Linked DNA regions of Arabidopsis thaliana. The protein of the gene in region 2 interacts with the protein of the main gene of each other region in a pairwise test. Each region holds a gene or a part of one and is shown on either strand. Other genes may lie near its edges.

Region 1 (7,489 bases), on a different chromosome or scaffold from region 2:
GACTTTTGTAAATTTTTGAAATCCCTTTAAAATCTATTGTAAATTACCCTTTTAAAATCCCTTGTAAATCTTATAAAACCCCTATAAAATCCCTTGTAAATCTTTTAAAACTCTTTTAAAATCCCTTGTAAATCTATTTCCCGCCAAAAAAAAAAAATTGGCGGGAAAAATATGTTTGAAAACAAATTTTGGCGGGAAATTTATTTTGGAATATTTTTGGCGAAAAAATATTAATTTTTCATTTTGTTAACCTAAAACAATTTCCAAATAAGGGTAAAATGGTCATTAAAAATTTAAAGAGGGTAGAAATAAAATTGGATAAAACAAAAGGGTAAAGTTGAAAAAGGGCATCATGAAAAGGGCATTAGAAAAAAAAATTCTTAAAGGGATAATAATTAATATATTAAACTATTAAGTTGATTAACTGATTTTTTTTGTGTTAATATATTATCAAAACAAAACTTGTTTTTTTTTTTTTTTTTTTTTCATCCAAAACAAAACTTGTTTTATTTATTGATTTTTGTAAATAACTGTTTTTCTTAGCTTTTATTACTTCTTATGTTGGATGTTCGTGTTTGGTCTGAGAATTACCTCCTTAAGCACAAGTTGTTCCTTTATAAATGAGCTCCATTTAGGCATAATGATGTGAACCCTTTAGTTTTTGTTGGTGTAGACTCAAATTAGAGAGAGGAGTCGCTGAGATTGATAAGCTAGCAAACAGAATCTTCCATATCGACAAGCTTGGGAATCAACCTGAATTGTGATAGAAGAGAGAAAACATTTTCTAGGAAACTAAATTGTCTCTTTTGAATTTGAAATACTTTATTTGGAGCTTGTTTGCTTAGCGCATATCTCGAATTTGATTATATCTCGCAAGATAATTATGTGACGTTTTTGAATTATGTAAACATCTCAATAAGTGATATAGGAAAATTTAACTTACAAACAGAAAAATAAGCGATTTTTTCAATACATTCTAATAGTTGAATACATTAATTAGAATTAGGAGGGATACAATAATAGATAACTACAATTCATTCGTCATGTTCTAAAAATAGAGAGCAATAAGTACGACGGACAGTACCGTCACTACTTGGCGTCATGGTAGATAGGTAGTGGATCTGCTAGATATATGAGAACGGAAAGAACCAGAAGCTATTAGAGGCGGGAGGAGATATGTGGGGATGATTTCAGTGCAATTCCACGACGCACCATTTCCACTTTCGTAACACCTAAACGACCGCTTCGGCCGTATAAAATCGCAAATGTTTGGTCTCAGTGTATTTTTCCAATTTCCAAATACATCAATTCAAATTATATAATATCTAGTGGCAATTATAAGTATATCATATATTTTCAAAATTAATTAAAAAGATTACTAAATTATGTTTGACTACAACTATTATAATAGTTAAAAACATAAACAAAAACAAAGAAACTATTTTAATAAAAAAATCAAGTAAACATTAAAACATAAGCAAAAAATAATGTTAAAGAAATTATTAATTATTAATTTACTAATAATTAATACCTCTATAAATTAATTGTTAGAGGTTTAACGTAATTTATAAGGAAAACTAAAGAAGACTTTAACCCATAAAGAAAAAAACAAAGACTGAATTGAAGGCCCATATTTAGAAGAAGAGAAAGAAGACCCAAATATGATATAAAATCCAGCCCATTTATATATTTTTATTTTGTTTCTGGAAGGAAAATAAGAAAATGGCAAAAACGAAATAATCTGAAAAAGTAAGGTCTTTTACCAAAAAGGATATTTTTTTTATAAACAGAGCATAAAGTTTTCACTTTTCTTCTGCTCCTTTCTCGTCTCTGTCTTCTTCGTCCTCATTCGTTTTAAAGCATCAAAATTTCATCAACCCAAAATAGATTAAAAAAATCTGTAGCTTTCGCATGTAAATCTCTCTTTGAAGGTTCCTAACTCGTTAATCGTAACTCACAGTGACTCGTTCGAGTCAAAGTCTCTGTCTTTAGCTCAAACCATGGCTAGTAACAACCCTCACGACAACCTTTCTGACCAAACTCCTTCTGATGATTTCTTCGAGCAAATCCTCGGCCTTCCTAACTTCTCAGCCTCTTCTGCCGCCGGTTTATCTGGAGTTGACGGAGGATTAGGTGGTGGAGCACCGCCTATGATGCTGCAGTTGGGTTCCGGAGAAGAAGGAAGTCACATGGGTGGCTTAGGAGGAAGTGGACCAACTGGGTTTCACAATCAGATGTTTCCTTTGGGGTTAAGTCTTGATCAAGGGAAAGGACCTGGGTTTCTTAGACCTGAAGGAGGACATGGAAGTGGGAAAAGATTCTCAGATGATGTTGTTGATAATCGATGTTCTTCTATGAAACCTGTAAGTTCTGTTCTTGCTTTGGTGTTTGATTATTAGAAATGGGAAGAAATCGAATTTGAGGGTTTTGAAGAGAACATTTTTGGTAACTTTTGTTTTAGTTTTTGATTTGTGGTAAGTAACTTTAACAAAGTTGATGATTTGCGTTATGTGCTTTATTTTGGCTCAGACTTGTTGAATCTAATCGATTTTGGTTTGTTTAGTAAACTAAGGTTAGCTCTTGTTACTCTATGAGCAACTTCTCACTAGTTCATGTAGCTGCGTGGCTTATCTTGCCTTCTAAGTTGGTCAAATGAGTAATCTTAAGGGTCTAACTTAAATTATTCTCTTACAACTAATGGAGTCAAATCCTTGTGCAAATGGTTTATTTTCGTTTGGTCTTATTTCTTCTGTGTGTTGTCTGGAAGGTTTTCCACGGGCAGCCTATGCAACAGCCACCTCCATCGGCCCCACATCAGCCTACTTCAATCCGTCCCAGGGTTCGAGCTAGGCGTGGTCAGGCTACTGATCCACATAGCATCGCTGAGCGGGTATATTTCAGATTCTCTTTTGTATTTCCCTGTGATATACTATGTTGGTGGCGAGTTGGTTGTAGTTGAAAATATGTTTCGGATATAAAAAAATGTTAACATTGTGTAATGATCTCTTGATTTTATGGAGGGATTACCTAAAAGTTTGTTTTACTTTACCACAGCTACGTAGAGAAAGAATAGCAGAACGGATCAGGGCGCTGCAGGAACTTGTACCTACTGTGAACAAGGTCTGTACCTTTCACCCTAACCCTCACCTGTATATAATTTCTCTAGAAAGTTTGACACTTTCTGTTTCTCCCGTCTTCGTGTGCAGACCGATAGAGCTGCTATGATCGATGAGATTGTCGATTATGTAAAGTTTCTCAGGCTCCAAGTCAAGGTATATTCTTCTCTCTTCTGCAGTTTTAAACTCGAACTCTCTTTCTTGTGAATTATCTTATTACTCCCTATGCAATATGTTTAATCTGTTTGTTCATAAGATTAGAGATCTAAAGATCATGTCTTTCAAATTCTCTGGATGGATTTTTGGTGTTAATTCTGGTCCCACCATTACCTACCCTTCAACCAAATTTCAATCTGATTAGATCAGTTATTTAATGTGGGAAAGAATAAACAAGTCCAAAATGCTTTTGTTTTCTTTGGCATTTAGTCTCTTTTCACTTTTTGTTTTGTCATAGGGAGCCTAATCACAGTTTATGATTATAATACCATATTCAACAATAATTACAATCATCATGTTCACATTATAATATAGTAATCTGGTAGATCATCAAATGCTTCTTATATCAAAATGCAGTCGGTTACTTAAAGCTCTCGCAAGCGAAAAAAGGAAGTCTCTTTACTTTATAAGATAATGGAGACACTAAAGAAACAGAATGCAATGATGGATTTCTGATAAGATAATACATCTTTTGTTTTAAAAATAGAAAATGTGTTTCTTGTGAAATCTTCCATGCTCATCTAAAAGTAAAAGCTTTTTTTATATATATAATTTTCATGGGGTGAAGCTTATCACTTTCAATGATATCTGTTTCTCTTTGTCAACTTTGGTAGGTTTTGAGCATGAGCCGACTTGGTGGAGCCGGTGCGGTTGCTCCACTTGTTACTGATATGCCTCTTTCATCATCAGTTGAGGTAAAAACTTTTTAAGAACAAAAAGTAAAAACTTTAGTAATGGGGTTTTGATTCAGATTTTGCTTAAAATGTCAATAGGATGAAACGGGTGAGGGTGGAAGGACTCCGCAACCAGCGTGGGAGAAATGGTCTAACGATGGGACTGAACGTCAAGTGGCTAAACTGATGGAAGAGAACGTTGGAGCCGCGATGCAGCTTCTTCAATCAAAGGCTCTTTGTATGATGCCAATCTCATTGGCAATGGCAATTTACCATTCTCAACCTCCGGATACATCTTCAGTGGTCAAGCCTGAGAACAATCCTCCACAGTAGGATTTCTGCAATAAAGAGTTTGTACAGCTAATCCAACTGTCCAACATGGGTTTTTCTTCTGCTCTAATGACTCTGGTTTCTTCTCTCCTCTCTCACCCACTTGAAAGGTAAAAAAGTGAAAAAGGCTTTGTAGATGGAATCAATGTAGGATTTGCAGTAGAGGGAAAAAAAATGTCAAAAAGCTCAATTGATCAAGTATTATTGTAATCATTGTACCTTTATTTTAGGTGGACTTTGATGAAAGCAACTTTTTGTTTTCAAGACTTTAGTGGGAGGTTGAGGAAGGAGCTTGAAGGGTGTTATTTATTAGTAGTAGTAGTAGTGGGAAGTTGTGGGACCTTGTTGAGTTGTGTTCAAATTGAAGAAAAAACAAGTATTTGTAATTTGTCACCCCTTGTATTATTATTTATTTTGTATGACTTTGGAGTAGTATAATTAATTATCAAATAATATTATTAGTTTGATCTAGTAACCATCCTTTGTTTGATAACACTAGAAACATAAAGCAAATATTTTAGGAGAAAGTACCATGAATTGTGCTTCTTTTTTTTAGTGGTACGTGTACAATTTTAACTTCCAAATCTCAAATGCTAAGATATATACACTTTGGACAGAACATGTATCAATTTAAACTTGCATGTTTACATTTTGCATTGATTAGTGAAGACAAAATACAACTTTTATTAATATTGTTAGTTTTGGAAAAATATAGCCAAAAAAAAAACTCATCGAAGAATTAAAGTTATTGATATGATTATTTCATGTGATTCATTAAATCATTCTGCCAAATTTATTTTTTGAGTAAAGTTTGGAAAATCTTGTGTCTTTTGAAGTAACAGATAAAAGTTTTGTTTTTATTACAATTTCACATGAATCTTAGAGTGAGATAATAATAAACGAAGATGATTTGGCAATTTGTTTAAAATGGGTCTAAATTCCAAAACCAAGAAGACTACAAAGAGTATGCAAACTCAATTTGATGCGGTACAGGCGTCAAACATACATCGCTATAGCCTTTGCGTTATTGAACCACATAAAACTGCGGCAAACAGAACTTAGCTTTAGCATGCATCAAGATCACGGAATTGTGGTGGCTTAGGCTCACCAAGCAGTGTCTTATTCCCTCCTTCTGGTCCACACTTGATCCTCTTCGGGTTCTGAGTTCCATGCTGAAAAACAAAGATTAACATTATAAGAAGTTGGATTTGGATTTTGGATTTGGATTTTGGCTTAGAGGCTACGTTCTCCAATTTGGAAAGTTAACCGAAACCAGATTGTTTTCCCCCACCGATGTAATGCAATAGTAAGAGAAGAACATCAGGAAAGTATCCAAATGCAATGGGTTGTTAATGTCTTACCGGTGGCTTTTCTCCTTTTCTCAGCTTTTCAACAATTTCTACGACTTTCTCAGGTGTAACATCTTCCTGTGTATTGTAGCATAAGACAGTGTAAGTATGATTTCACTCTTCCGACGTAACCCACATAAACAATAGGATAATGCAGGAGAAAAAGAAAAATTGTTCAACGAGATTTGACATACGAAATAGTTATATGTATATCCTTCTGATCCATTGGAATAGTCAGCCACAGTGATCATGGGTGCATTAACACAACATCCCTGTAACAAAACCAAACACATTAGATCTGCATTGAATCTTTTCATGTGAAAGTACTAATCTTGGTTATTGTTCTGCATGGATTAATGAATTGAGGTGACGCAAAATCCATACCATGCACTCCATCTCTCCAACAGAGAACAAACCATCCTTTGTGACCTCTGCACAAAAAACATTAAGACCAAAGATCGTTATGACTGATCATCACCTCCATATGATTTTGGTTATGAAAGGAAGCACATAGAGCTTTACCACCGCGTTTCACTCCCAAATGGTCTAGCAAAGCTGATTCGATGTCTCGTGAACCACGGATCATGCAAGGTGTTGTGCCACAAACTAGAAGGTGATACTTTCCAACCTGTAAGAGCAAAAGAAAAATGAGCCTGCAATGCGTCTTTCATTGAGTACAGTAGAGACTTGAGTTTAGGGGTAGAAAGTACTTCTTACCTTTGCTCTGTTGAACATTGAGTAAAATGTTGCAACCTCATAAACACGGATAGGGGCAACTTCTATAACTTTAGCAACCTGCAAAAGTTTGTTGCATTGTTATGACGGTAAAATCATATCAATGAATGTTGTATTCCAAAAAAGAACTTAAGAAGTACATAAAATTAAGTCTTAACAGAGAAAATCGAACAAAAAAATCTTAGAAGACATACCGCATTCATTGCTGAAACAGGGAGCCAGCCTCCATTCTGCTGTTGTGCAAGATCTAGGAGAGGAATAACTGCGGACTGCTTGTAATTGGATGGATAGTAAGAGAGAATCTCCTTAACCTACACATTTTGGACATAACAATTCAGTAAGTCTGGATGCATGCGGAAATCGATTTCACCGTTAATGCAAGATTACTGTAGCCAGAAATGAAAGATACAGTAAACTGGAACTAAATGCACAAGAAAGTATTAGGATTTAAACTACAATGAAACCGGTTTACTAATTTCTGGACAGTCTTTCTGCCACACTAGCAGATTCAAATCTGTTGGCCATTTGGGTCGTTCACTCTAAGTCTCTCCCTTAAATCAGTTCCAGAATAGCCGATTCTAAATATGTAACAACAAATAAGCAATCAAAAATATCAGAAAATCCCAGTCTTTGTCTTTTAATATCCTTTGGTAGAATGCTAACTAAGAGAACCATAATTCATAATCAGGAGACAGGGACTAGTTATAACTAGGGTCAAACAAAGGGCTAAAGATTAGGGAACGAGGGCTAAAGATTCCAACATTTTCACGAAAGAGTATAAATTAATTCCACCATTACGAACATGTCACACAATTCCCTAGATATTCTGTAAACATCACAAAAACGAATTCGAATCCGTACTGGATAAAAATCCCCAATGCGTTCACTAAAACTGTAAATTTTCGTCATTATCACATTAAGAAGCGATTTTATTCACTGACCTTAGATTGGTTAGCCTCTGAAAACTCCCATGGAAGATCGGGTTTGTTATCAGGAGAATCCAGATGCTATAAGTAATCAAAACAACAACAACAACAAAAATCAAATTACAATTAATTTCGGATAAAAT
Region 2 (7,899 bases):
TCAAAACCAAAACTTTTATTATGTCACTTATGTTGTACTGGACAAAAGATAAAAACATTATCCCACGCGCTCTAAATTTCTCATCAAGGCGCGTGAAGTGTATTTAAGAGCCCAGATTTTCTGTTTGTTTCCCGGGAAAATTGAACTCACGAGAAGTTAGAACCGTCGAAGGCAGAGATCTAACGCCATAGCTCTAAGATTCTATCAGTTATAGGACTAAAGGGACGAGCTTAATCTTATGAAATGCTTATCCTACCAAAAAGTTCGTCTCCTTCTCCGACATTGCGCTCACCGTTCGTTTCTCCGTCCCGGCAAGGAATTGCACGCCGTTTTAACCACTTCTGGATTGAAGAAAGCTCCCAGGTCGTATCTTAGCAATGCGCTATTTCAGTTTTATGCTTCCTCTGGTGAAATGGTTACTGCCCAGAAACTGTTCGACGAAATTCCTCTTTCAGAAAAAGACAATGTGGATTGGACCACTTTGTTATCCTCTTTTTCTCGGTATGGATTGTTGGTTAATTCGATGAAGCTCTTCGTGGAAATGAGAAGGAAAAGAGTAGAGATTGATGATGTTTCTGTAGTTTGTTTGTTTGGCGTGTGTGCCAAGCTGGAGGATTTGGGTTTCGCTCAACAAGGACATGGGGTTGCTGTAAAGATGGGGGTTTTGACTAGTGTAAAGGTTTGTAATGCCTTGATGGATATGTATGGGAAATGTGGGCTTGTGAGTGAAGTCAAACGTATTTTCGAGGAGTTAGAGGAGAAGAGCGTTGTTTCATGGACGGTGGTTTTGGACACGGTTGTGAAATGGGAGGGGTTAGAGAGAGGAAGAGAGGTTTTTCACGAAATGCCTGAGAGAAATGCTGTTGCTTGGACGGTTATGGTTGCTGGGTATTTGGGAGCTGGGTTTACAAGGGAAGTATTGGAGCTTCTGGCAGAAATGGTGTTTAGATGTGGGCATGGTTTGAACTTTGTCACTCTTTGCTCGATGCTATCGGCTTGTGCTCAATCGGGAAATCTGGTAGTTGGAAGATGGGTTCATGTGTATGCATTGAAGAAGGAAATGATGATGGGGGAGGAAGCAAGTTATGATGATGTGATGGTGGGAACGGCATTGGTTGATATGTATGCTAAATGCGGAAACATAGATTCTTCCATGAACGTCTTCAGATTGATGCGTAAGAGGAATGTGGTGACATGGAATGCTTTGTTCAGCGGGTTAGCAATGCACGGGAAAGGTAGAATGGTGATTGACATGTTCCCACAGATGATAAGAGAGGTGAAGCCAGATGACTTAACCTTCACTGCTGTCTTAAGTGCTTGCAGCCACTCGGGGATAGTAGATGAAGGGTGGCGATGTTTCCACAGCCTCCGGTTCTATGGTTTGGAACCTAAGGTTGACCATTATGCATGTATGGTAGATCTTTTGGGCCGAGCTGGTCTTATTGAAGAAGCAGAGATCTTGATGAGGGAAATGCCAGTGCCTCCGAATGAAGTTGTCCTCGGTTCGCTTCTAGGCTCGTGCAGTGTCCATGGAAAGGTGGAGATAGCCGAACGAATTAAAAGAGAGCTTATTCAGATGAGTCCAGGCAACACAGAGTATCAAATACTTATGTCCAACATGTATGTTGCAGAAGGAAGGAGTGACATTGCTGATGGGTTAAGGGGAAGTCTGAGAAAGCGAGGCATCAGAAAAATACCTGGTTTGAGTTCCATTTATGTTAATGACTCAGTACATCGGTTTAGTTCAGGAGATAGATCACATCCGAGAACGAAAGAGATCTACTTGAAGTTGAATGAAGTGATTGAACGGATAAGATCAGCTGGCTACGTCCCTGATGTCTCTGGCCTGGTTTCACATTCGGAGGGTGACTTGGAGGAAAAAGAGCAAGCTTTGTGCTGTCACAGCGAGAAATTGGCTGTCTGTTTCGGGCTTCTGGAAACAAAACCGAGTACACCTCTTCTTGTCTTCAAGAATCTGAGGATATGTCGAGATTGTCATTCGGCTATGAAGATTGTTTCAAAGGTCTATGACCGAGAAATCATCATCAGAGACAGAAATAGATTTCATCAGTTCAAGGGAGGTTCTTGTTCTTGTTCCGATTATTGGTGAACAGATATGAGAATGACAAATTTGCAAAATGAGACAAGGTTGAGACAATGGAGGAAAATTTCATTGAAAATCTATAAACGACTGTACTACAATTCAAATGCATACAGAAGTTGTGTCCTGCAAAAGGTGAAGAAGTAAAGTAAAATGTGTTAATTTTATGAAAAGTTAGGGTGAAATCAAGAAGCAAATTCTCAAAATCTTGATCAAAAAGAGCATCATTCTCTTCTGATCAGTGGGAAGGTCCAGTATCTTCCTTCTCTGAATCATCTTTGTTCCCAGAGTTTGGAGAGTTTTCAGCTGTTACCGTCTCATCATCCTCGTTCTGAAGAAGCGATGAGAATGATAAAGGGTTGTACGTCGAGCTAGCCTTTTGTAACCCTCTTATAGCTCTCATTGCAGCGAGTGTACTCTTATATATATCAAGATTTTCATTGCCGAGAGTTGAGGAAGTCTCAGCTGAGATTCTTGGGGAGTTGTGCTGATGTGAGCTTGAGTGTGCTTGCACTGCGCTAGAAGACTCTACAACTTCCGCTTCTGAAGGAAAAAGAAGCTCAAGATTGGCCTCACATTCACGGACTAACCTAGTAAGTGGCTCTGTAGTAAAGAAGGGTTGATGGAGAACAAGCTGTGTGAAAGGCAAACGTAAAAGTCCACCTGTTCTTTTATCGTACTTCTTCAAAATCTTGACAAGTCCTAGAATGGAAGATGTTTTTAGCATACAGTAGTAATGTGTTACAAAAATTGGTTTTCTAGTTAAAATATATGATTACCTGCAAAATTAAGGGAGCTGTAGTTTTTCAGGAGCACCATCTCGCCATGAATGGTAACAAGGTCTCTCCGAATATCCATCATTTCTTCGCTGAACTCACTTTCTGATGCAAATTCCCCATTCTTTTCTTTAACTTGCTCGATTCTTTCCTTGAGCTCCTGTTTGCAAAATGATGAACACACACTAATCAATTAGAGCTTCATATGTCTATAAACAAGCAGAGCAAGAAGATGACCAAGGCTCATAAACCATACTAATATCTAAGCAATGTGATCTCGATTGTGATATACCACAGAGCAAATAAACCACTGTATCATTACATCAATACAGACAAACTCACTTGAAGCACAGAGAAACTAGATCCAATTTGATTAGAGATCATCACTAGAACTACCTCCGGTTTCAACTACTAGCAATTTTGTTCTAGGATTCGAGATTAATCATCCAATCGAAGATAACCTATGGAATGATTCAATTCTAGAAACTTGTTTAGCTTCTGAATCAGTAATCACATGAACCAAGTTCTAACTTGACCTAAAATCCTGAAGCTAGAATAAATTCGGAAGCAAAAACCTGTAATCTGATAACGAAATCTTCTTCCTTATCAACGTAAAAATCGTTAAACTTCTCAAGTTCATCGTTAAGTATCCTCACAAACGAACCCTGGAGATCTTCCGATGGCCTGACGCCGGGAACCACACCGCCGTCGTCGGCGGCGGAAGAGATGTTAGTAGTATCAGCAAATACTGGACGCGAATCGTTGTGATCGGAATTGGCGGGTCCAAAATCGGCGGAGTAATAAGGATAATATTTGAGAAGCTTTTTTAAAGGTTTATAGCAAAGGAACTTGTCTCTCCACTCTGGTAAAGTTTCTTCGAGGTGAGTACGAAACTCTTTGCCGAATTTCATGTAGAAAAGGCTCTGTGTTGGATCTAAATGGAGAAGACGGAGATTGCGACGGTGCAGAGCTCGTGGATAAGAACGAACGCGAGAGAGAGAGAGAAAAGCGCGAGAGCAAGGAATCTTACAGAGAGAGAGAGATAGAATCTGATGAAGTGGACGTGGATGCTTCTGATTAAATATTGACCATTGATCTTCTTCGTTTTTTTTCTTCATTAACTTGTTAATTTGGATATTTATCGATCAAGAAATTCGGAACAAATATGCATTGGTGGTTAAGTACTAATTGAAATAATGTGGTAAAATTGTTACTTGAAGTAATTATGTAAATGTAGTGAATAATTTGCGGATGTAATTATGTGGAATAATGTTTTGTTTCAATAATAAAATATTAAGATGCTCCAATAGAAAAAGGTTAGATTAAAAGTTAGCTGGACGACATAAATTGGCACAAGCGAATCAATTATCATTAAAATTCATCTAAACAAAGTGATTCTGTTCGTTTTTCTTCGGCATTTGATTATGTTAATTTTAAAAAAATCAGCAAGTTGTGATTATATGCATATACAATATGTCCATGAAGTTCCATGAAATAACATCACAGAATTATAATAGCTTTATCTAAAGTGGCTCTTAACCAGATCGTCAACCTGAGATGAGCCTCTGACGAGCTTGAACGGGCATGCACCTATAATAAAATAGAAAGAACCAAAAAAACTATTGAATAATATTCGTTATATTCCAATAGATTAGATTCGTCTTCCCATATAATGAGATTCCCTTATATTTTACGTATAACTATAAGCGGATCCAGAATTAAATCCACTTATATTCATAGACTATATCACTTTAAACAGTACTTATCACTAAAAACTATACAATTAAATGTTGATGTTATAGTCACGACTCTAAATTCTTATTGGCTAAAGTGTGTGACCAGGGTTTGTTTTTATATATTTAAACATATTTATTCATGCCTCCAACATTTAGGCATCTGTAGTTTCGTTTTTAATAGTAGGAAGAAGAAAAAAGAAGGGAATGAAAAGGTGAGGAACGACTTTAACTACTGCTTTAGCTCAAACGGGACGTTGACAACTTCTTCATATGGTACTATCAAGAGCCTGAATAATGTCAGCCTTTAAGTGCTCAAAGTCTTCAACACAAAAAGTCCAAAACTGAAGCCGAAATCGACGCGCTCATTGTGCGAATGGTAAGAAACTTGAATTTCGCAGTTCGACGACAACCACGCGTGTTACGTTTGGGCTGACTTTTATATTGCCCATTGGGCTACAATAAGCTCAGTTTTTTTCATATTATCCATAGACCCACATAATTCAAAAACGTAGGTCGACAAATGAATATGTCGCCACTGAAGTAATGGTAATTTACACATTGGTAGTTGTTTGAACTTTTAAGCCGTGGTGGAAAGTGTAAGAGAGATCCCGAAATCAAATTCAAACTACATGATTGCTTGGATTGAATCAGACAACAAACCAGAAACGACAATAGCAATTTTTCTTTGATTAACTCAGATACACAAGAAGTTGGAACATGCTTTTTAGGACCAATTTTTTTCTCCCTTTCTTAGATTGTGTCCAATGGGACCAAGTAGAGTAATATAAGGACTCTTGCAAAACGAAGTATATAACGCAAAACCGGGACACTGAGGTCCTTAGTGTTATAGATAATCTGGTTAAGAGGTGAGGTGTATGTGAATGTGAACGGTGTTATTGGATGACAACAAATGGAAAGATGTTCTTGACTCGGGTTTTAAGCCAATGGCAATTATGGCTCCAAAAAGGTCTTAAAACCGTATAATATGCTTTTCAAAAACACATTTGTTCCTTCTTATGCTAAAGGATGAATCATGAAAGAAGAAATCAAACTAACCGGGGAGACATCACCCCCAGCTTTTGGCATCTTATTGTAAAGAAAGAAGAGTGGTTTAATGATGAGCGGTGGCTTCAACCTTCTTCTGTGACATCGATTTGATCTGCAGGTGAAAAAGCAATTTGTTGGTACTTATCTTAGCATATACTACTAATATTCAAGAACATTTCAGGTATAGAGACATCTAAGTTATAAAACATTTCCGGTTTGCAAAGAGATAATCAGTGGAGGAACCAGGATGAGCAAACAACAAGATTGAACAATGTAAACCTTTTTAGAGTTTGCAACATGATGAATGAACCAGAGATTTTGCTCAAGGCATCACATCACTGGCTCAGCTACTCAAAGAGAACAGAGGAGACTAACAACCAAAAACATTTAAAAGCTAGTAACTTCAGAAGCAAAAACCAGAGAAAGACACCACAAAGTGGTGTTTCAACAAAGTCGTTTAAAAATTGCTGACGACTTGTAGAAAAGTAGCATATGATAATCTAAAAGGGATTATAAGATCAAAACTCAGGCATAATCAGTGGACTAGCAGAAACAACAAACTAACAGAAGGAGTAAAGCAGCATTCTGCAATTCACATCTATAGCTCGAGAGCACTGTAAATTCAAACAAAAATTTGCTATCTCACTCTTAACTACGATCAAAATCATAAATTTTCTGATGATAAAATTTGTGTAGCCACCAATTTCGAGATAACATGTCACCAACAATTCAAATGTTACAATCACCAGATGATGAAAACAATTCATTAATCAATATTATTGCAGATTCATAGCAGATACGAGCAATATAATCAACAATTTCGATAAAAACAAGACAAAATTGAGATAGAATATGACCTTAAGGACCTTGAGCTTCATGTTCCCATAGACGAGACCCAACCCAAAAGCCGAAGCACGAGCCACCTGATCATTGAAGCAATAGACTCGTTGAATCACACAAACTCTTTACAAAAGAAAAAAAACGAATCTGTGCTACAGATCGAGAATCCGATTAGAGAGATGAATTACCAGAGCAAGAGAGCTGGTGCCGGAGTAAAGACCTGGAGGTAGCGTCATTGTCAAATCACTGTTGGTCTCTCGGAGTCGTCTTCGGAGAAAGAAAACCCTAAAAATCCCAAATCAAGCGAAGCTTCCGTAATCTCAAAAAAAAATCGCGATTCGTGATGGTGGAATTGTTCGCTCCTTTTTCGTAATATTTATTTTCCTTAACCCGAGTAAACTGATTATTGGGCTTTAAATGGGCCTCTTATATTCTCGTATTACATAAAGGACTAACATAGATCTAAACCTAATTACTTTTTAGCCTAATCTCTAAAAACTCTTTTAAGAAAATCCAAATTTTATCCTATATTTTATTGCTATAATAATTTAATTTTCTCAATGATTAATATCGTTTCTGAAATTTTGGGATATTATTTGGGTCCACTTGCAACGGGTCATATCCAAATAAATATAGTATCCTATTTATCACTACGATTCATATTTATTATTTCATTATGAAATATTGGCTTGGTCTTTTTTTTCGGCTTTTGTGTTTCTTATATTATTTTCACAATTAATATGAAAAAAATGAAAAATCGGATTCGAGAGAGAGAGGCAAAGCCCAAGGCAGAAAAGGACATGAAACAACCAACATTTAATTTTCTCATATAGTAATCGACATGTCAACGTGTTGTTTTTATCACATCCACATTATCATCATGTAACTCTCAATCTTTCACATTTCTTACGTAGTTAACAAAATAAAATAAAATAAAATTGACCACAGTATATGTATACTTTCTAGTGTAGTGGTTACTGGTTAATTAGTAGAGTGATTTTGGTTTAATTTGTAGAAGTGGTAACGTACAAAAACTGTGTTCAAGATAGATTTTTTTAATCCGGGGGACGGTTGATATGTAGTAATCGTGTTCGTCAGAGAACATTCAATATCTTGGATCTTAATGAATCAAAAAGATACGATTCGGTCACTCAAGAATGACCAAAAATGTCTTCAAGTTGCCGAAGACCAATGCTTTGCAGCAACCTATTCATGGCGAAAGACGTCCATGAAATGATGTGCTCATGCATGTTTTTATGTTATTTTAACTTAAAGCATCTCGGAGCAAAATAATACTACAAGAAATATAGAAACACACTTTGAATCTCTAGAAATAGACGACTAAACAAGTTTTGTTGGAATTTTCTTTTTATCTTTTGCATCATTAAAGCACAAAACT
Region 3 (8,704 bases), on a different chromosome or scaffold from region 2:
ATAGGCTTGTTTTGGATGTAGAAAGCTTACGATGAAGTTCTCTAATTCCTTTGCTATCATCTTCATTCTTTAACATTATTCAACTCTTCTGCTATGTTATGATGGTACTCCTCATAATTGCGCAGAGGTTTATGTGTGTTTTTCTTTATGTTTATATGTTATCCGTGCATCACTTATTACCCCTAGTCTTAGCTTAATTTTAGAATTTGGTTATTCCATCTACATTTGATTCTTGTTGGTTGCCAAGCTGATATGTGGATGTGTCTTTCATATTCAATCATTTTAGTGTGTATATTCATTAGTCTTGGTGTCCACATTGAAGAGTCTTTACTTCATGATTCTGATTTGCTTGAGTTTAAATACCTTAGAGTATTTTATACGGTATTTGTGTGGTAAATCTGAATGAGTGTTTCCAATTCGACTTGTGCTAAAACACAGGTCTTCTAAAGATGTCCAGGATACACATAGTTTGGTAATGCACACATACTGTTCTGATGATTCTAGCTCACGCGTGCATCATTTAGGCCTACACAAAGCTCTCTGTGTATTGATGGGATGGAATTTCTCAAAGGCTCCTGATAATTCAAAGGCATACCAGAATCTACCTGCTGATGAGGCAGCAATCAACCAAGCCCAGCTAATTATTTGGCCACCTCATGTTATTGTTCAGAATACCAGTACAGGGAAGGGAAAAGAAGGGCGCATGGAAGGCTTTGGAAACAAAACAATGGATAACAGAATTAGAGGTATAACATGCGGCCTTTCACTCCTTATTCTTGCGTTTACATACCTGGGCAGAACCATCTGGAACAGTTCATGAATCTTGCATTGGTTAATCCGCACATTAGGATTCTCTTCTCTCTTTTCCTTTTTTCTTCCCTCCATATTAGAGATGTGCTTGGAAAGTACTAAAGCAGGTTATCTTAATCAATTGGATTTAGACCCAGAGCCTTAGAGATGATTCCCGTATACAATGGCCATAATGATGTCGCATGTCTTTGTTATCCCTGACTTTGTGCCACAATAATCATCTCCTTATCTTTTAGAAGAAAGGTCACGGTCCAAATCCCTCTCTTTGTTTTGCTATCACTAGAAGGATGGCCCAACAGGTGTTTTAAAGTAAGACTCTGGAAACTAACATGATTCAATTATCATCTGACATAGCTTCTCAGGAAAAACCTTCACTATACTTAGACCCCTGCCCGTTTCTCTCCCATGTTTCTCTGTGATTTTGTAAATTTAAAATTGCTATGACTTAGCATAGAATAATTTATAACTCTGGTTTGAGCTCTGATTTCAATACCTTACAATATCAGAATCTAGGCAACAGTGGTGGTCTAAGAAGTATATAAGCTTCTTTAACATAACTTTGTTGGGCCACCATCTTCTCTGGTCTTTTCTCTAGGAATCTCAGCTTCTATTTTTAGAACTTGTGGTTAGGCTAATGATGGGTGTGCAAGTACATGTATCTAGTTATTAGCCTATATCGTGTAACAACACTCAATGACACATTTTGTCTGCCTTCATTTTGATTTCTATATATAATTACAGAACTAGGACTCACTGGTGGGAAATCGAAGTCGTTGTATGGAAGAGAGGGTCATTTGGGAATTACCCTGTTCAAGTTTGCTGGAGACGATTCAGGGCTCAGGGATGCTATGAGAATGGCAGAATATTTTGAGAAGATAAACCGTGGGCGTAAGAGTTGGGGGAGGGTACAGCCACTCACTCCAAGCAAAGATGATGAGAAAAACCCTGGTCTTGTCGAGGTTGATGGGAGGACGGGAGAGAAAAAGAGGATCTTTTATGGTTATCTCGCGACTGTAACGGACTTGGACAAAGTCGATGTGGAGACAAAGAAGAAAACCACAATCGAGAGCCTTAGAGAACTCACAAGAACAAAGTAAATTACAGTTTTCTTCTCCCACGAAAGGTACACTTAACTTTCGAGGTATTTGTTGCCTATTGAATCTGGATTCTTAGTCGCAACCTAAAAAACTCGAAAGGAGGAACGAAAGTTTTTTTTTTTTTTTTTTTAATTTATAGATGAAGTCTTGGTCTCTTTGATCCTTCGATTCAGTGTTCATATTGCATAGTCTAATATCGGTTGAACCTGATATATACAAGTTCTCTTTACCAACATCCTTAGAAGTATATTGTGATAGTTGCTTGATGCTTTTGATGTCCCTGTTGATTCTCCTACGTTCGTTTCTTCTTTCCTTGTTCTATCTCATCCTTTCGAATAGTGGTTCCTGCTTGTTCTTTAGGCTTTAGCCAGCCTATGGAAATGAGAATATTGAACCAACCAAACAATGTTGCCATAGTGCCATTGTATTGATGATGTCTATGACATTGAGTTATTGTTTTTGTTTGCACTCTGGTAGTAGCTTTATGTATTTGGTCACCTTAGATTGGTGACAACAATGGTGGTGTTTAGTTTAAGCTAGCTATCTTCTTTGAATAAAAAAAAATAAAAAAAAAATTATAAATTGGTATGAAAACAAAAATAAACATTAGATAAGAGGACTTGTATTTTGTGGGGGCTTTTGGTAACCACTATATAAATTTTGTTTTGTCTTTGTTTATAACTCTTTAATTGACAAGTTAGGTATAAAGTGTTTTGACGATTTTTTCCCCTCTACTTTCTTGTGTTCTGATAAACTTTATTACATGTCTTCATTCAAATCTTTGGTTCGCTCTGGCTTACCAATTTACACGTTTTGTTAAAGGAAGTTTGATCAGCTTCGGTTTAGGCCGTGTGATTAAGAATTTAAGATAAACCTTAACACTTATGAAAGTAATCAAGCACTATCCGGTAGTGAAAGTTAATATAACATATAGGATTATAGTTTGGCCAATATCATAACAACTAGGATATAATTTTATGAATGTACAATATGCAGGACAAAGTACTTTGTATCTTTTGATAGAGTTACATGCACTATAAGAGAATTAAACATATTAGAAAAAAGACTAGATTATGTAAAATGTCATAATCATATTACTATAAGACTAGCTAGACTGAGGTCAAATCAATGCATAAATTTAAATCATTATCTCTTTTGAATTCGATTATCTCCCTCACATTTTTCAAATTTCTCTACTCACTTTTTCTATAAAGCGGAAACAGTAATCGGCGGTTCATATGTAGTCGGCCATTACGGACCCATTTAATTAGATAAATTATTCTTAGCCGTCAGTTTCATATTTCGTCTCATTCTAATTTTGTAATGTTTCTCTAACCTTTTTGTAACTATAAAATCATACTCTAATAGCAAGAGGTCTAAAAGAGTAATGGATATTTCCCCTCAATAATGTGTTATATGTCACTGTCCCGTTTTAACATTTTGTACATATCAACAGAAAAAAGTTTTTATGATATATCCATTCCACTGATGTCAAAAAAGCAATAGCTTTAATAAAACCAAATTCAAAATTTCGTTTTTATTCTATTCTTCTGTTTTGATATCACAAAGATATTAAAAACATAGTACGAAGATTAGTTTTATATGTGTACTAATGAATCTTCTTTGTGGTTGCTTCATTATCACGTTTTAACATTTGTCACGCGTGCCCTGATTTCATTACAGCCTTTTCTACAAAACACATGCATTGTTCTTCTTCTTACATTACTACATTACACTACACAAAGAATTTCATATTAATTATAACAACATTTTTTTTTTTTTGCTATACTATATAGTTTTTTGTTATTCAATTGGTATTTTACCGGCAATGCTTCACTGGTTTCCGACTCAACGCATGTGGTGGTCAGTGGGCTTGGCCCACTTATCTCTTTCACCTTTTTTTTTCTTTATACGAAAAATTAAAGCAAAGCTATAGTAATAGTACTTATTATTATTACCACGTCATCACCCAACTCTCTTATACTACGCATATCACGCTAAGCTACGCGTCGACGGCGCAATATAGAAGAATATGTAATAATCGCGCCTTTAATCAGACTCCACTGAGACGTGTCGCTATTTCGAGTTGTCCACGTCACTGTTTCTTTTGTCTCTTATCTTCTTCTTCGTCTCTTTACTTTTTTCCCATTTCTAGGGTTTCTTCAATTTCACTCTCTCTCTTGAGTTTATTCTTCTCTGCTGTATCAATCAAATCAACGGAGTTTGAGTTTCTTTTCCGATTCCGGCGATGGGGTCAGTCCCCGATCCAGGCGAGTTAACTGAGTTAGCTCAGCCGAGTTTCGAGGAGTTTCAGAAACAGACGTCGTTGATGACTAGCTGTACTCTTCTATGGCAAGAGCTCTCCGATCACTTCACTTCTCTAGAGCAGAATCTGATGAAGAAATCTGAAGCGTTGAAGCAGATGATTGAAACTCTAGATAACCAGACTCAGACCTCGCTCGAGTCTCTGAAGCGTAGAGAGGTAACAATCGACCATAGCGTTGAGATCGTAGCTGGGAAAGTAGGTGAACGAGCTAGAGCTGCTCTTGAATCGTTAGAGAAAGCTAGAGATGGTTGTGGTGATGGTTCTAATGATGATTCCGGTGATGTTGACGATGAAGAAGGTCTTCTTTCTGCTTTGAAATCTCTTTGTCTTAAAATGGATGCGAGAGGTTTTTGGAACTTTGTGACGGCGAGGAAGAAGGAGTTGGAGAATCTCCGGTCAAAGATTCCGGCGGCGTTGGTTGATTGTGTAGATCCGGCGATGTTAGTGCTTGAAGCGATATCTGAGGTTTTTCCGGTGGATACAAGAGGAGATAAAGTTAGCAATGATTATGGATGGGCTTGTGTTGTGATTCTTGAGAGTTTAACACCTGTAATTGTTGATCCAGTGATTGGGAAATCGAGGTTGCTTGTTACTCCGAGTGTTAAGGAGAAAGCTAAGGAGATTGCTGAGACGTGGAAGAAGAGTTTGGAAGAGAGAGGAAGGATAGAGAATGTGAAGACTCCTGATGTTCATACGTTTTTGCAGCATCTTGTTACATTTGGAATTGTTAAAAGTGAAGATCTTGCTTTGTATAGAAAGCTTGTTGTTGGATCTGCGTGGCGTAAACAGATGCCTAAGCTTGCGGTTTCTGTTGGTTTGGGTGATCAAATGCCTGGTAATCCTCTTAAGCTCTTATCTTCTACCTATTAGTTTTTTATCCTGGCATGCTCATTGTAACTTGTGAGATCATATATGGTTTTGAAATTGGCTAGTTTACTAATAGTTTAACCCATCTAGATGTATAGTTTTGGTAGGTTACAAATAGTTTACGAGTTGATTAGTCGAATATTAAGTTTGTGTGGCAAACATTGTATGGCATAGATTGTGGTGAAGTCTGAGACATTAGTGGTACAAGGTGTTATTGACCACAGACTGTGTGAAGTTGAAGCCTTTTTCTCTGTATCTCGTTTTATAATATCTGAACTTACAAGTTGTTGCGCTGTCCACAGACATGATTGAAGAATTAATCAGCAGGGGACAACAGCTTGATGCTGTTCATTTTACTTATGAAGTTGGGCTTGTGGATAAGTTCCCTCCTGTTCCTTTGCTCAAAGCTTATCTAAGGGACGCAAAGAAGTCAGCAGCTTCTATCATGGAGGACTCTAGCAATACTGGCCGAGCTACGGTATCTACTCATTGCATCTACTCATTTCTATCGCAGCTAAATATTTTTATCTGTGCGTCCCTGAAAGTTAATATCTTCCTTGTTATGTTTTCTTCCTAAGCATCTCGTGGCGCGCAAGGAGCAATCAGCACTTAAGGCGGTTTTAAAATGCATAGAAGAGTACAAACTCGAGGAAGAGTTCCCTCCAGAGAACCTCAAGAAACGGTTGGATCAGCTAGAGAAGACCAAAACCGAGAAGAGAAAGCCAGCAGCTGTTCCTGCCAACAAAAGAACCCGAGCCAGCTACAACGGTCCAATGCCACCAGCCAAAGCCGGGCGTATCACAAACGCATACGTCTCTTCCTTCCCGTTCATCAGATCACCCTCTCACTCTCCTCAATACGCTTCACCAGCAGCTTACCCATCCCCACCTACAACAGTCTACAGCAACAGAAGCCCACCTTATCCATACTCTCCGGAGATCATCCCAGGCTCATACCAAGGCTCTCCTATCGGTTACCCAGCGTACAACGGTTATTGTAATGGTCCAGTTCCTGCTCCAGCTCCTCCAGTTTACCACCCACACCATCATCAACACCACCAATTCCACCATCAGCAACATTACTACTGAATTAGAAGACAGTGTGACAACAAAACAAGGAAGAAGATTGGTAATAACCAACAAATCACTGATACTGTGACAACTGCTACTACTCTGGTGTTCTCTCTCTCTGGGTCTATTGTCTTCCTACGTCGTCGTTTTTGTCTGTAATATCTCTTTCTCAGCCTAACTCTCTTAGTAACTTAGCTTATATCCTCTGGTGTGTTTATTATTAATCGCATATAAAACAAAACTCAAGCTTTTGTAATGTCTAATATTCAGTCAACAAACTTATATTTCTGTACTCTGTTAATCGAATGACAAACTTCTCTTCGTCACCAACTATCTCCGATCAAATCTAACATCGGAGGTCGTTGCTTTGAAGACATACCCACCAGTTCTCTGTTGAATTGCATTTCTTCTTCATTGAGCAAAGTGGTGATTCAATTTCGGTACAAGACACAAAGCCAGTGGTGAGAAATTTCTCTTTACCAACCTTGCACACCAGATGTTCGACGATATGTCTCTTTGAAATCTTACCGTTTAGTTTTCACGTGCGTTTTCAGAATTGGTCTCTTTTCCTTCAATGGCTTTGATGGTTTTGAGAAGAAAGTGTCTCCGTTTGCCAGATTTTATCTCCGTTTTTCGACCTGCACCGCGTTGCTTCTCCTCGAGATTTTCCAACAGTGAAAGTGGTAAAGTTACAGTGACTGGTTTGAGTGGTTGTGGTATAGAAACTGTGGATGATGATGTTTGGCATGTTTCATCATCTTTATCCCAAGCTTGGAGACAGTTCCAAGCAGACACTGCAAAAAACTCTCCCGTTACAATACAAGGAGTAAGAGAAACAATACTCGATGATGAAGATCCCGATCACGATGAAATCGATAACATGAGAATTCGCGGTGATCTTTTCTTCAAGCTCGATCGAGGTTCAAAAGAATTCGAGGAATACAACTATGACTTCCACCGCAAGAATCAACACAAGAACGCTAAAAAGGAGCAAAACCAAGAAGAAGAAACAAAGATAAAGAAGGATAACAAGAAGGAAGTTCGTGACGAATACAAGAAGAGAAATGACTCTTTCACAGGTGAGACGGATCATCCTAATGAAGCTGTGAAGAAGAGAGAAAGAACATTTACGTTTAACCAACTCACGGCGCCATTTCACTACCCGTTTTGCTTAGACATATACATCTCGAAAGAGTCTGTACGAGCATGTGTGATTCACAGGGTGACTAGTAAGGTTGTAACTGTGGCTCATTCGATTTCAAAAGACATGAAATTCGATCTTGGTTCGAGAAGAAACGTTGCAGCTTGCGCTGCGGTTGGGGCAGTTCTTGCTCAAAGAAGTTTGGAAGATGACATACATGATGTTATATACACTCCTAGGAAAGGAGATAAAATTGAAGGTAAGCTTCAGGTCGTGCTTCAAGCTCTTATTGACAATGGTGTTAATGTTAAAGTGAAGCTTAAGCAGAGGAAACTTAAGAAGAAGACTAGTCATCTAATGATGGCCTAGAGGACTGAAATTTTCTAGTTTGTAATATGGGCCCAGAAGATATGTTTCTGTGTGGGGCCCAAAAAATGTTATCCGTTTCATTTCTACGTTTCTTGTCGGGTCAAAGTGTTGACTTTCTAACAATGATATCATCGTTTTCTTATACGTAACTTCTCTGCTCTTCCATAGCCGATCGACCTTTGTTCACAATTCCCACCGATTTTTATTTGCTAGATCGATATATTTTCAGGTATGATGATATATATATCATGGTTTGTTTATTCATCTGGAAAGTTTTTGATGCATCATGATCAGGACAAAGTTGGCGTGAAATGAAAAGTTTTAAATAAGTTTTTTTTTTTTGTTGTTGTTGTAAACCTATAATCAGATGATGAGATGATCCTATATTAATCGAATATTTTGATTAATTATACATGATATTTAACAATTGCATTCATCTTTTTTCTTTTGTGAAATCTAAGCAGTGAGCTTGAAACATGGCTTCAGTGGCTCCTAAAATCGCTAAAGATGTAACTGAAGTAAGTAACCTCCAAGATTATGTCTTTCTTCAACTATGTCTTGTCAGTAAATGTTTTTTTTTTAATTGATATTTTTTATTATTTGGGAGCAGCTAATAGGGAACACTCCATTAGTGTATCTAAACAAAGTAGCTAAAGATTGTGTTGGTCATGTTGCTGCTAAGCTTGAGATGATGGAACCATGTTCTAGCGTCAAAGACAGGTGCTTCCGAAAAGTTTAAAAGCTCTGTTTTCTAGTTTCTCTGTTAGTGACAAAAGAAACAAATACTTGTACTTTGTTCTTTTTTGTTGCAGGATTGGTTATAGTATGATTGCTGATGCAGAAGCTAAAGGACTTATTAAACCGGGAGAGGTCTGTTTTTTTTTTTAAATGGAAGCTATTAGTCAGATTCTTCATTTGTTAGTTTTTGAGATTTTTAACTTTTGAGTTTTTTCTTTAGAGTGTGTTGATTGAGCCAACAAGTGGGAACACTGGAGTTGGTTTAGCATTTACTGCAGCTGCAAAG
Region 4 (8,204 bases), on a different chromosome or scaffold from region 2:
AAGCAAACTTTCTTCAACTCCTCAGTTTGGTATACATAGATGGTTTATAGTCTCAATTCTAGAAATGTAAATTGTCAAACCACATAACCATATATGACTTCCAGTGATTAGATGATACAAGTCAAGATTAACTGCCTTAAGTCCATATGCTTAACTATGCCTAACAAATCCTCAACATGACTGACGAAACTAGTCAGGATTCACTTCCTTACACATACCTTTAACTCTATGCGCAATTTCAACAGCAAATACTTCCTAGCTCTCTGTACATACTAACAATCTACAATATCAAAACACAAATCTTCACTGCAAATCAAAATAATTCCCCTAAAACCCAAACATGCATATTCCATATACAATACATAAATGCAAGTTTCACTAAATCACATAAGAAAGCACCAAAGCAATCATAAAGAGGATACACAAGATAGAAGCCATGAGCAAAAGCACCGACGAGGACAAGACCGAAGAGACGATCTCTTAGAACTGGCTTATGCCTTAAAGACAACCGAATCAAAGGAAGCGCAGGTGCGTAGATGAGAGGTACTAAGAATTTGATCGGAGCTCCTTTCTTCTTCCTCTCCATTACTGGTTTTGAAGGATCGCTTGACGACGCCATGACGGATTCTTCAGAGAGAGATCTTTTTTTTTTCAAATTGCGATTTGCGATTCAATTTAGGGATTTCATCTTTTTCACTCCATTTTTTTTTGTCTTGGTTTTCAACACTTTTAAACATTTTTGGGCCTCGAAGCCCACGAGAAGTTATATATAGCCCACGAAAAGTTATAGATCTATCTAGTAAATTTTGTCCGTTGGAGGAGTTATAGGTTTATCAACCCGAAAATAAAAATCTTTTTAGCTGTCAAACAAAGATTAAATAAACGAGTGCAGTTTATGTTTGAATCAAAGAGAGTGAGCCATGTATTAGGGATTCCAATATTAGAGATTCGAATATCCTGAAATTGTTGTATTAACATGTGACCCTTCGCTTTGTCGTAAGGCCAAGTGTCCCTTTCTTTTTTCCACCAAACCTAAAATTTTATGTTTTTTAAGTTAACCATCAAAATGGTTGGAAACAAATAAATTTATCATCTTCAACTACTTAATGCATTAATTATTTAGATTCCGATAAGAAACATGGTGGAATGGCAGAATTGAGAACCCAAAAAAAAAAGCAGAATGGAATGATAAATGATTATAATGGAAATATGAATATTTTTTACTAGTTGTACAAAACTATTGTATATTTAAAAAGTGAACAAGTTATTGAAATTCCTTATAAAATTCAAATAGTTGTAGAATCCGTATCAGTTGGAGGGAAGTCACGATTTATTGATCTCCAGCCCCTAGTCACGATTTATCCAGTTTTATTCAAAACAAAGAAACAAAATTACGTAAGAATTCGTCTTGCTTGTATAGACCCAAGATTATCCTCCCTACAAATCAAGTTAAAAAAAAAAAAAAAAAAAACCCGAAAGACCCTAGACACAATGCAAATGTCACAATTTTTATCGACCTGAAATTCTATAACATATAAAATCAAAACATAATACAAATTTAATCGTCCACTTTCCTATAATCTAGGAAGACTTATTCAACAAGGACTTAGTCAACAAGGACTTATTATAAAAATCAGAACATGACCTTTTTATTCTCCATGAACCCGATTATTAAACTGGTTTTGAATTTTCTAAAGAAATTCCGGTTCGAGTCAATTACCGTAAGATATGTGAAGGAAAAAAAAAAAGATACTATAATCTAAATTGGCCGACAAAAAATAAAAAATCTAAATTAATGATTTGATTATGGTTAGTGGTTACTATTCTATTAAGCAAGATTCAGAGGCGGCCACGTTAGATTTATTTTAATAAATTGCCATGCAAAAAGATAGATTTGGTATTCAATTCTGTGAATGGTTAGTTGGTCGATTCATGGACCTTTGTTTTAAGCAAGCGTTACCATAAATAAATCACTTCTAATTGTCACACCAAATATCTACATCACCATTCACGCACGTTATTCTCAATTCATCTTAGATTCTCTTATCTACCTTTGTATTTTACTATTTACGAAGGTGATGAATTATAACCTTTGCCATCAGATTCATCACGAAGATCTGTCTAAATTAGACACCAAAAACAAGAAGATATTTTAGTAAATATCCAAAGTTAGAAAAACAAAGAGTCTTCACTTATCTCGTGTATATACTACATAGTAGCATTCGTCTACTTTATTCAAAATTTCCAACCGAGGAAATAACATTTCTTGGTTACAAACAAAAACGGACGAAAATATTTCTTACATTCACATAAACATTTTCAAACCTACACCAAAATCAACATCAGGAGATGATTATAGTATGACTATCAGATTATGACACAGGAGTAGAAGTATTTGTATTTGTAGAGGAAGATGCCGCCGGCGAGTTGCAACTTCTCTCCAACGAACGTTTTGGAGATTGCGCCACCGCAACCGGAGCATATACACCACCCTTGTTGGCTACATCGGACGGTGGTGGAAAATCTTGTGACGATGGTACCCATATGCCTCCAACCACCACAAATTGTGGTTGTTGCTGATTCCCGGTACTTTGTGCCGCCACGGATGTTGCTGCTGGCCTTCTTGTGTGAAGTCTATATTTCTGAAATATTACACAAAAAATGGTTAAGAACTTGAGTAACATTTCATTTAATTACCAATTTCACGAACTTGTGATTATAACATAAGAATCATTAATCACTAACCTGTAAATGGCTTTTAACTTCGTCGTTTGTTAATCCATCAACCTTCATGTGATCCCTGATTTGCTTTGGTGTAGCAACTGCAAGATTGGCAAATAAAATGTCAAATAAAAATCATTTTTTAATGTTGATAATAATCTTTGTTACTTACTAATATAATGTAAATGTTGAGACGTTTTAATGTTTAAAAACAGTTCTTTATCAACCCGATTATGAATCACTAATGAACCAATCAGATAGAAGATAATCAGGTAATTAAAATTAATCGTAATTACCATGAGATCCTCCAAGCTGCTGAAGCGCGTTTAGGAATCGACGGTGTAATTCCGGCGACCAGCACCGCCTTTGTTTTCTATGCGTATGCGACTGCGATTGCTGCTGCTCTATCCGTCTTTCCTCATCTCCAGCTTTAATCAAATCACTTTTACCACCACAAGTTTCCGTCGTAGAACTCGTCGTCGTCGCTGGCATCGAACTAGCTACTTTCACCGCCGGTTGCAAATCAGTCTCCAAAACGCGCTTTTGAAACGGCTGAAACGCACCGCTTTTTGGTTTCACCTCCACCACTTTCGCTTTCTTAGCTACACGCTCCTATAATTCAATTAACACATGATTATTTCCTCATAATCGAAAACTAAAACTCCTTTAAAAAGCTCAAAACTTTAAATACCTCTTTTGGATTTAGATCCGGTGAATGATTCCATAGCTGAACAGATCTAAGCCAATCTGATTTCTTATTATTCACAAGTTCTGGAGAAGATTCATGTTCACCATCTTCTTCTTCTTCTTCTTGTACTTCTTCACACAAGGAACTAATTTTCTTGATAGGAATAAACTCTTCAAAGACAGGACCACCACAAACACTTGTGGTCTGTTCTGAACACTGTTCTGATGTAGTTGTCGTCGTACCAGATAACTCCTTCCGACAAGCTTCGATCGCTATACAGAAACAAAACATAACAAAACCCCATCAAGATTTGTAAGAGACTTGTTTAAAAATTGGAGATTTTGATTGGATTATTATTACCTTGAGTGACAAGCTCTAAACATAAAGGAAGCTCGCGTTGAAAGACTTGGATTTTCTTCTGTTCTTCTTCAAGTGCTTCAACGTATTCATGACATTTCTGCATTTTCTTAGCGTAATCCATCTCCACCATCATTATTATTCAAAAGGGACTAAGAACCAAGATCTATAGAGAGACGACAGCGAGAAAGAAGCTTAATCTCAATGGAGAAAGAATATTGGATCTTTAAAATAGAATCAAAACATAGAGAAATTGATTCCAATGTTTTGTTGATTTTTCAAGAGATAGAGAGAGAGAGAGAGAGAGAGAGGGTTTAGGTTTTTGGAACAAGAAAGAAGTGGAAGAGAATCGAGGTCGGGCCGTCGCGTACCTAAAACGAATCTTTGAGAGTTAAAATGTTTTTTTCTCTTTTGGAAGAGAAGGGTAAAATAGTAATATCGTGAAGATGATGGGTGAATATTCGGAGGATCAGATTCGATTATAGGTTCGCATCTCTTTGTATGGGCTGGAACTGACGTCACTATTCCAATCTCTTTAGCTTTTTTTTTTCAGATAAGAACGAAAACTCAACCATTTTTCTTCTCCCCTAATTAAGATTCCAGAGTTTTGTTTTCCAACGATTGTTTTATCCTTCATTTAACTTAACTATCATCTAATAGAAATGATTTTCTGTGTTTCTATATGGGCAAATCTATTCATTAAATGGAGATTTTATGATTTAGAATTTCAAATTTAAAGATTTGGTTTTTATTATGCGTCTTTTCCAAAAATCATAAAAATTGACGTTCACCTAACAAATATGCGTTTCATTAAATAAATTAAAATACTACTACTATCTCATAAGGAAAAATTATGTTTAAAACTTTCAATGACAATAAATCATATCATTAGTGATATCTTAATTCCAACTCCAAACGTTAATCATTCACAATTTATGTAACCTACCACTCGACTACGTTTTTACAGATATTTAGAACGAATATTAAAATTTGAATTGGAAATGAGCTAATTTGGTGAAGGAATATTCTAGGGGAGGAAAAAAAAAAAAAAAAATAGAAAGAAGAATCTTTTGGAAGGAAGTGTGAGAATCACATTTGCCCACGCCGCGTATTAATTATTTACATATCCGACCTTTCATATTCCTCAAGAGCCAATTTGCTAAATGTTCACGCGCATAGAGCGCGTACCCACGTGACCAAATATTCAATTGATGCAACCAGATTCTCTGCTTTTGTCATATTCATTTATCTTATTGGTTTCGTCGTTATCTTTTTAAGAAAAACAAACGGTTCTTTGGTGGTTCGATTCCTTGATAGGATGAGTTAATGCATATGAATATGATAATAGTATTTTTGTGTTTTTTAGATACAGCAAGATTTTGGACTAATTTCATTCACAATAATCACCATTAGGATCATCAAAATTTTATTTTATGGGTCTACTTATGTATGATTGATGAAACTATTTGAAGGTCGATTGAAATGATCAACTGTTTTCTTGTAGATGGAAAGTTACAACATGCTTATTGCTTTAATCATCATCATAATAGGCAAATATCAGATTCATTCCACATGTTCTTAATCAAATCTGTTTTAAGAAAAAACATCTAAATCTACACATAGAACTTTGTTGTCTCAATCTGATGGAGCTAATACATGTTTGGTCTTTATGTGGGAGGTGTGGGACATATAGATTTAAACGAGATTGGCTCCATCAATTCTTACCTTTATTATTAGCACATGATAAAATTTGTTTCCATGGGAAAAGAAAACAAACAATGTCTAAGTTGTAGTATTATGAATGTTTGAAGATGCAAGTAAGATCTCCAAGACTCCAACACATGTATTGGAGTTCTCTTCATAATAGCTATTGCATAGCCACAATTAAACAACAAAGTTAAGAGTGTCAATTAGAGCTAAAAAGAGACGGTTAATCAGTTAATGCAATAATTGTCAATTGGCAATGCACAAAAATAAAACATATGACTCTGAGTCCAAGGGAAACTACCAAGAACATGGAAGTTAAGAGTTTTTTCAATGGGAGTTTCTAAACAAAATTCTTGATATATAATAAAAATATTATATTGTTTAAATATTAGTTTGGTTTCTTAAATTTGAAGAAACTTAGTCCAATTGTTTCTTAACTAAGAGTCAATTGAACTAAGTTTCTTCAAATGTAAGAACCTCATCATTAAAATATATTATTTATCTATATTTACACTTGATTCTATTTTAAAAACTCACTAGATTTTAACCCGCGGTACACCGCAGAAATAATTTATTTTTTAAAGTTAGTATACATAAAAGTTTGCAAATTGTATCTATCTATAAAATATTTTTATTTTATAGTTTACAATTGTTATTAAATAACATCCTGCCAAACCCGTCCCGTCAACCCGTCCCGTAAAAAAACTATTTATTTTATTAATGTTGATCTTATTTATGATATGTTTATGAATTATTGTCTAAATATTTTGTAATTTTGTGGTAATTAAATGCTATCAAATATCTCTGCGGTTTGATGATTATAATTGAATTGTTATAGTCATGCCGAAAAGCAAAAATATCAAAAATGATAATTTTGTAGTAATTAAATGATATTAAATATTTTGGAAGTTTTATTTTAGTAATTAATTGTGTAGTTAAGGTAGAAAGATTTTGGGAAGATTATTAAATGTCAAATATTTAATTAGAAGATTTTCTTTCTAATTATCAAAAACAATTATTAAATATCAGTGGCAGCAAATGTAAATAAATCTCAACTCCAAGATTTATTTCACAAAGTGGCTGGATTTAAGAAACTTCCGTTGAAAATGGTTTAAGAAAATAGGCTCCGGTTTCTATTCCAGTTACCAACCTAACCTTAGCCTCTCTAAAACATCGTCACTGAAGCTAGATTGTGCAGGATACCGAGACAACGAACATTTACAAATTACAATAGAAAGAAGTAAAGAACATTTACATTTTTATATATAGAAATGACAAAACCAACTAAAAATAAAAAAAAAAGTATAAACCGTAGATCATACATACACACATTGAACCGGTTCTAACCAAGACTAACAAATTATAGCTTAACAAGACTTACGGACGGTTCAAGTGTTAAACAACCCTAAAACGGTAGGTCCACCTTCAACGTATCGGTCCCAGAGGCCAGAGCAACTAAACCAGAAATAGATTATTTATTTATAGGTTCGAATTTTGGTTCGGTAAACCGGGACAATCAGACAAAAAGGTTTAAGCCTTTAAGGCTAAAACGTAGCGTTTTGAATCGGAGGCAACGTAAAATTCCGTAAACCACCAATTTCTGAATTTTTCAACCTTATTCTTATGATTAAAATTGTTCGGTCCTGATTATCTCTGTGTTTTTGGGAACTGAGAAGCATCCACTCGACAATGGAGACTGCGATTTGTGGGAGATTAGCTCTCGCACCATCCTCTCTCTTCAATTCTAAATCAGGTTTTCTTATTCTCTCTCTGATTCCGTATCAAACATCTCTTTGTTCTGTTCGGTGTCTTTGAATCAAAAAGTTCGAAACTTGAATTAGTAATCAAATTCCGGAGCTTTCTGTATATAATCAGCTCATGACAGTTGATTTACATACATATTTTCTTTGTTGATATTGATTTGTGAGATGATTAGGTGCAGAAAGAAATAGGCTTTTTAGCTTTTTACCTTGTCTGAAACTGAAACTCTTCTGTCTGAAGCAAAGTGAATTGAATAAACAAAAACAGAACAGAACTATAGGGTTTTTGATGTTTGATACCTATTTCTTACATACAGATAATTTTAGTGAAGTTTGATAAAGATAAGTTTTATGAAAGGCATGGTGATGTTTAGCTCTTTCTAAAAAGATTATCTTTGTGGCTTGTCTAGTTGTGATTTGGTTTGCTCTTCTCTCTAACTTGGTGTGTGCAGGGGACAAACATTTAGTCTCAAAAGGACCATGTGTGAATCGTAGCATTCTCATGACCTTGTCTACATCTGCTGCATTGGGTAAAGGAGGTGGTGTCTTAGACAAACCAATTATAGAGAAAACCACTCCTGGTCGTGAATCCGAGTTTGATTTAAGGTATTATTGCCTACAACAATCTGAATTTTCCTTTCAATATGATCAAATTCATATGCTTATTTGTGATTATACTTTGCTTTGATTCAGGAAATCAAAGAAGATAGCTCCACCTTACAGGGTGATACTACACAATGACAACTTCAACAAGAGGGAATATGTGGTTCAGGTGTTGATGAAGGTAATACCCGGCATGACTGTAGACAACGCGGTTAACATTATGCAAGAAGCTCATATCAACGGTTTGGCAGTTGTGATTGTTTGTGCTCAGGCTGATGCAGAGCAACACTGTATGCAGCTGCGCGGTAACGGCCTTCTCAGTTCTGTTGAACCTGATGGTGGAGGCTGCTGAAACTAATTAAACTCAG

What was found.
Region 1: the proteins of SPX4 (region 2) and UNE12 interact in a two-hybrid assay, tested with the Arabidopsis thaliana proteins (one large-scale study listed by BioGRID).
Region 3: the proteins of SPX4 (region 2) and AT3G22440 interact in a two-hybrid assay, tested with the Arabidopsis thaliana proteins (one large-scale study listed by BioGRID).
Region 4: the proteins of SPX4 (region 2) and AT1G68670 interact in a two-hybrid assay, tested with the Arabidopsis thaliana proteins (one large-scale study listed by BioGRID).

Annotation. Positions count from the first base shown.
Region 1 is NC_003075.7:1,134,818-1,142,306, reverse strand, and holds UNE12 (basic helix-loop-helix (bHLH) DNA-binding superfamily protein), read left to right. Parts: upstream 1-1,766; 5' UTR 1,767-2,000; coding exon 2,001-2,363; intron 2,364-2,767; coding exon 2,768-2,890; intron 2,891-3,054; coding exon 3,055-3,120; intron 3,121-3,206; coding exon 3,207-3,272; intron 3,273-3,946; coding exon 3,947-4,027; intron 4,028-4,105; coding exon 4,106-4,339; 3' UTR 4,340-4,820; downstream 4,821-7,489. Other genes in the region: AT4G02580 (NADH-ubiquinone oxidoreductase 24 kDa subunit), read right to left, coding at 5,401-5,508, 5,698-5,763, 5,880-5,957, 6,070-6,116, 6,208-6,313, 6,403-6,480, 6,615-6,731, 7,362-7,427. UniProt on the Arabidopsis thaliana protein: Required for ovule fertilization.
Region 2 is NC_003076.8:4,976,484-4,984,382, reverse strand, and holds SPX4 (SPX domain-containing protein 4), read right to left. Parts: upstream 4,010-7,899; 5' UTR 3,996-4,009; coding exon 3,453-3,995; intron 3,038-3,452; coding exon 2,881-3,037; intron 2,804-2,880; coding exon 2,340-2,803; 3' UTR 2,152-2,339; downstream 1-2,151. Other genes in the region: AT5G15340 (Pentatricopeptide repeat (PPR) superfamily protein), read left to right, coding at 239-2,110; AT5G15320 (ATP synthase E chain), read right to left, coding at 5,725-5,772, 6,518-6,583, 6,689-6,736.
Region 3 is NC_003074.8:7,955,699-7,964,402, forward strand, and holds AT3G22440 (FRIGIDA-like protein), read left to right. Parts: upstream 1-4,054; 5' UTR 4,055-4,155; coding exon 4,156-5,068; intron 5,069-5,402; coding exon 5,403-5,578; intron 5,579-5,678; coding exon 5,679-6,188; 3' UTR 6,189-6,673; downstream 6,674-8,704. Other genes in the region: AT3G22430 (RNA recognition motif XS domain protein), read left to right, coding at 439-746, 1,552-1,907; AT3G22436 (uncharacterized protein), read right to left, coding at 2,200-2,322; AT3G22450 (Ribosomal L18p/L5e family protein), read left to right, coding at 6,745-7,680; OASA2 (O-acetylserine (thiol) lyase (OAS-TL)), read left to right, coding at 8,506-8,550, 8,639-8,704.
Region 4 is NC_003070.9:25,778,042-25,786,245, reverse strand, and holds AT1G68670 (myb-like transcription factor family protein), read right to left. Parts: upstream 4,446-8,204; 5' UTR 3,903-4,445; coding exon 3,770-3,902; intron 3,682-3,769; coding exon 3,413-3,681; intron 3,334-3,412; coding exon 3,018-3,333; intron 2,823-3,017; coding exon 2,746-2,822; intron 2,643-2,745; coding exon 2,373-2,642; 3' UTR 2,128-2,372; downstream 1-2,127. Other genes in the region: AT1G68680 (SH3/FCH domain protein), read right to left, coding at 423-619; AT1G68660 (Ribosomal protein L12/ ATP-dependent Clp protease adaptor protein ClpS family protein), read left to right, coding at 7,163-7,226, 7,686-7,839, 7,927-8,188. UniProt on the Arabidopsis thaliana protein: Probable transcription factor involved in phosphate homeostasis.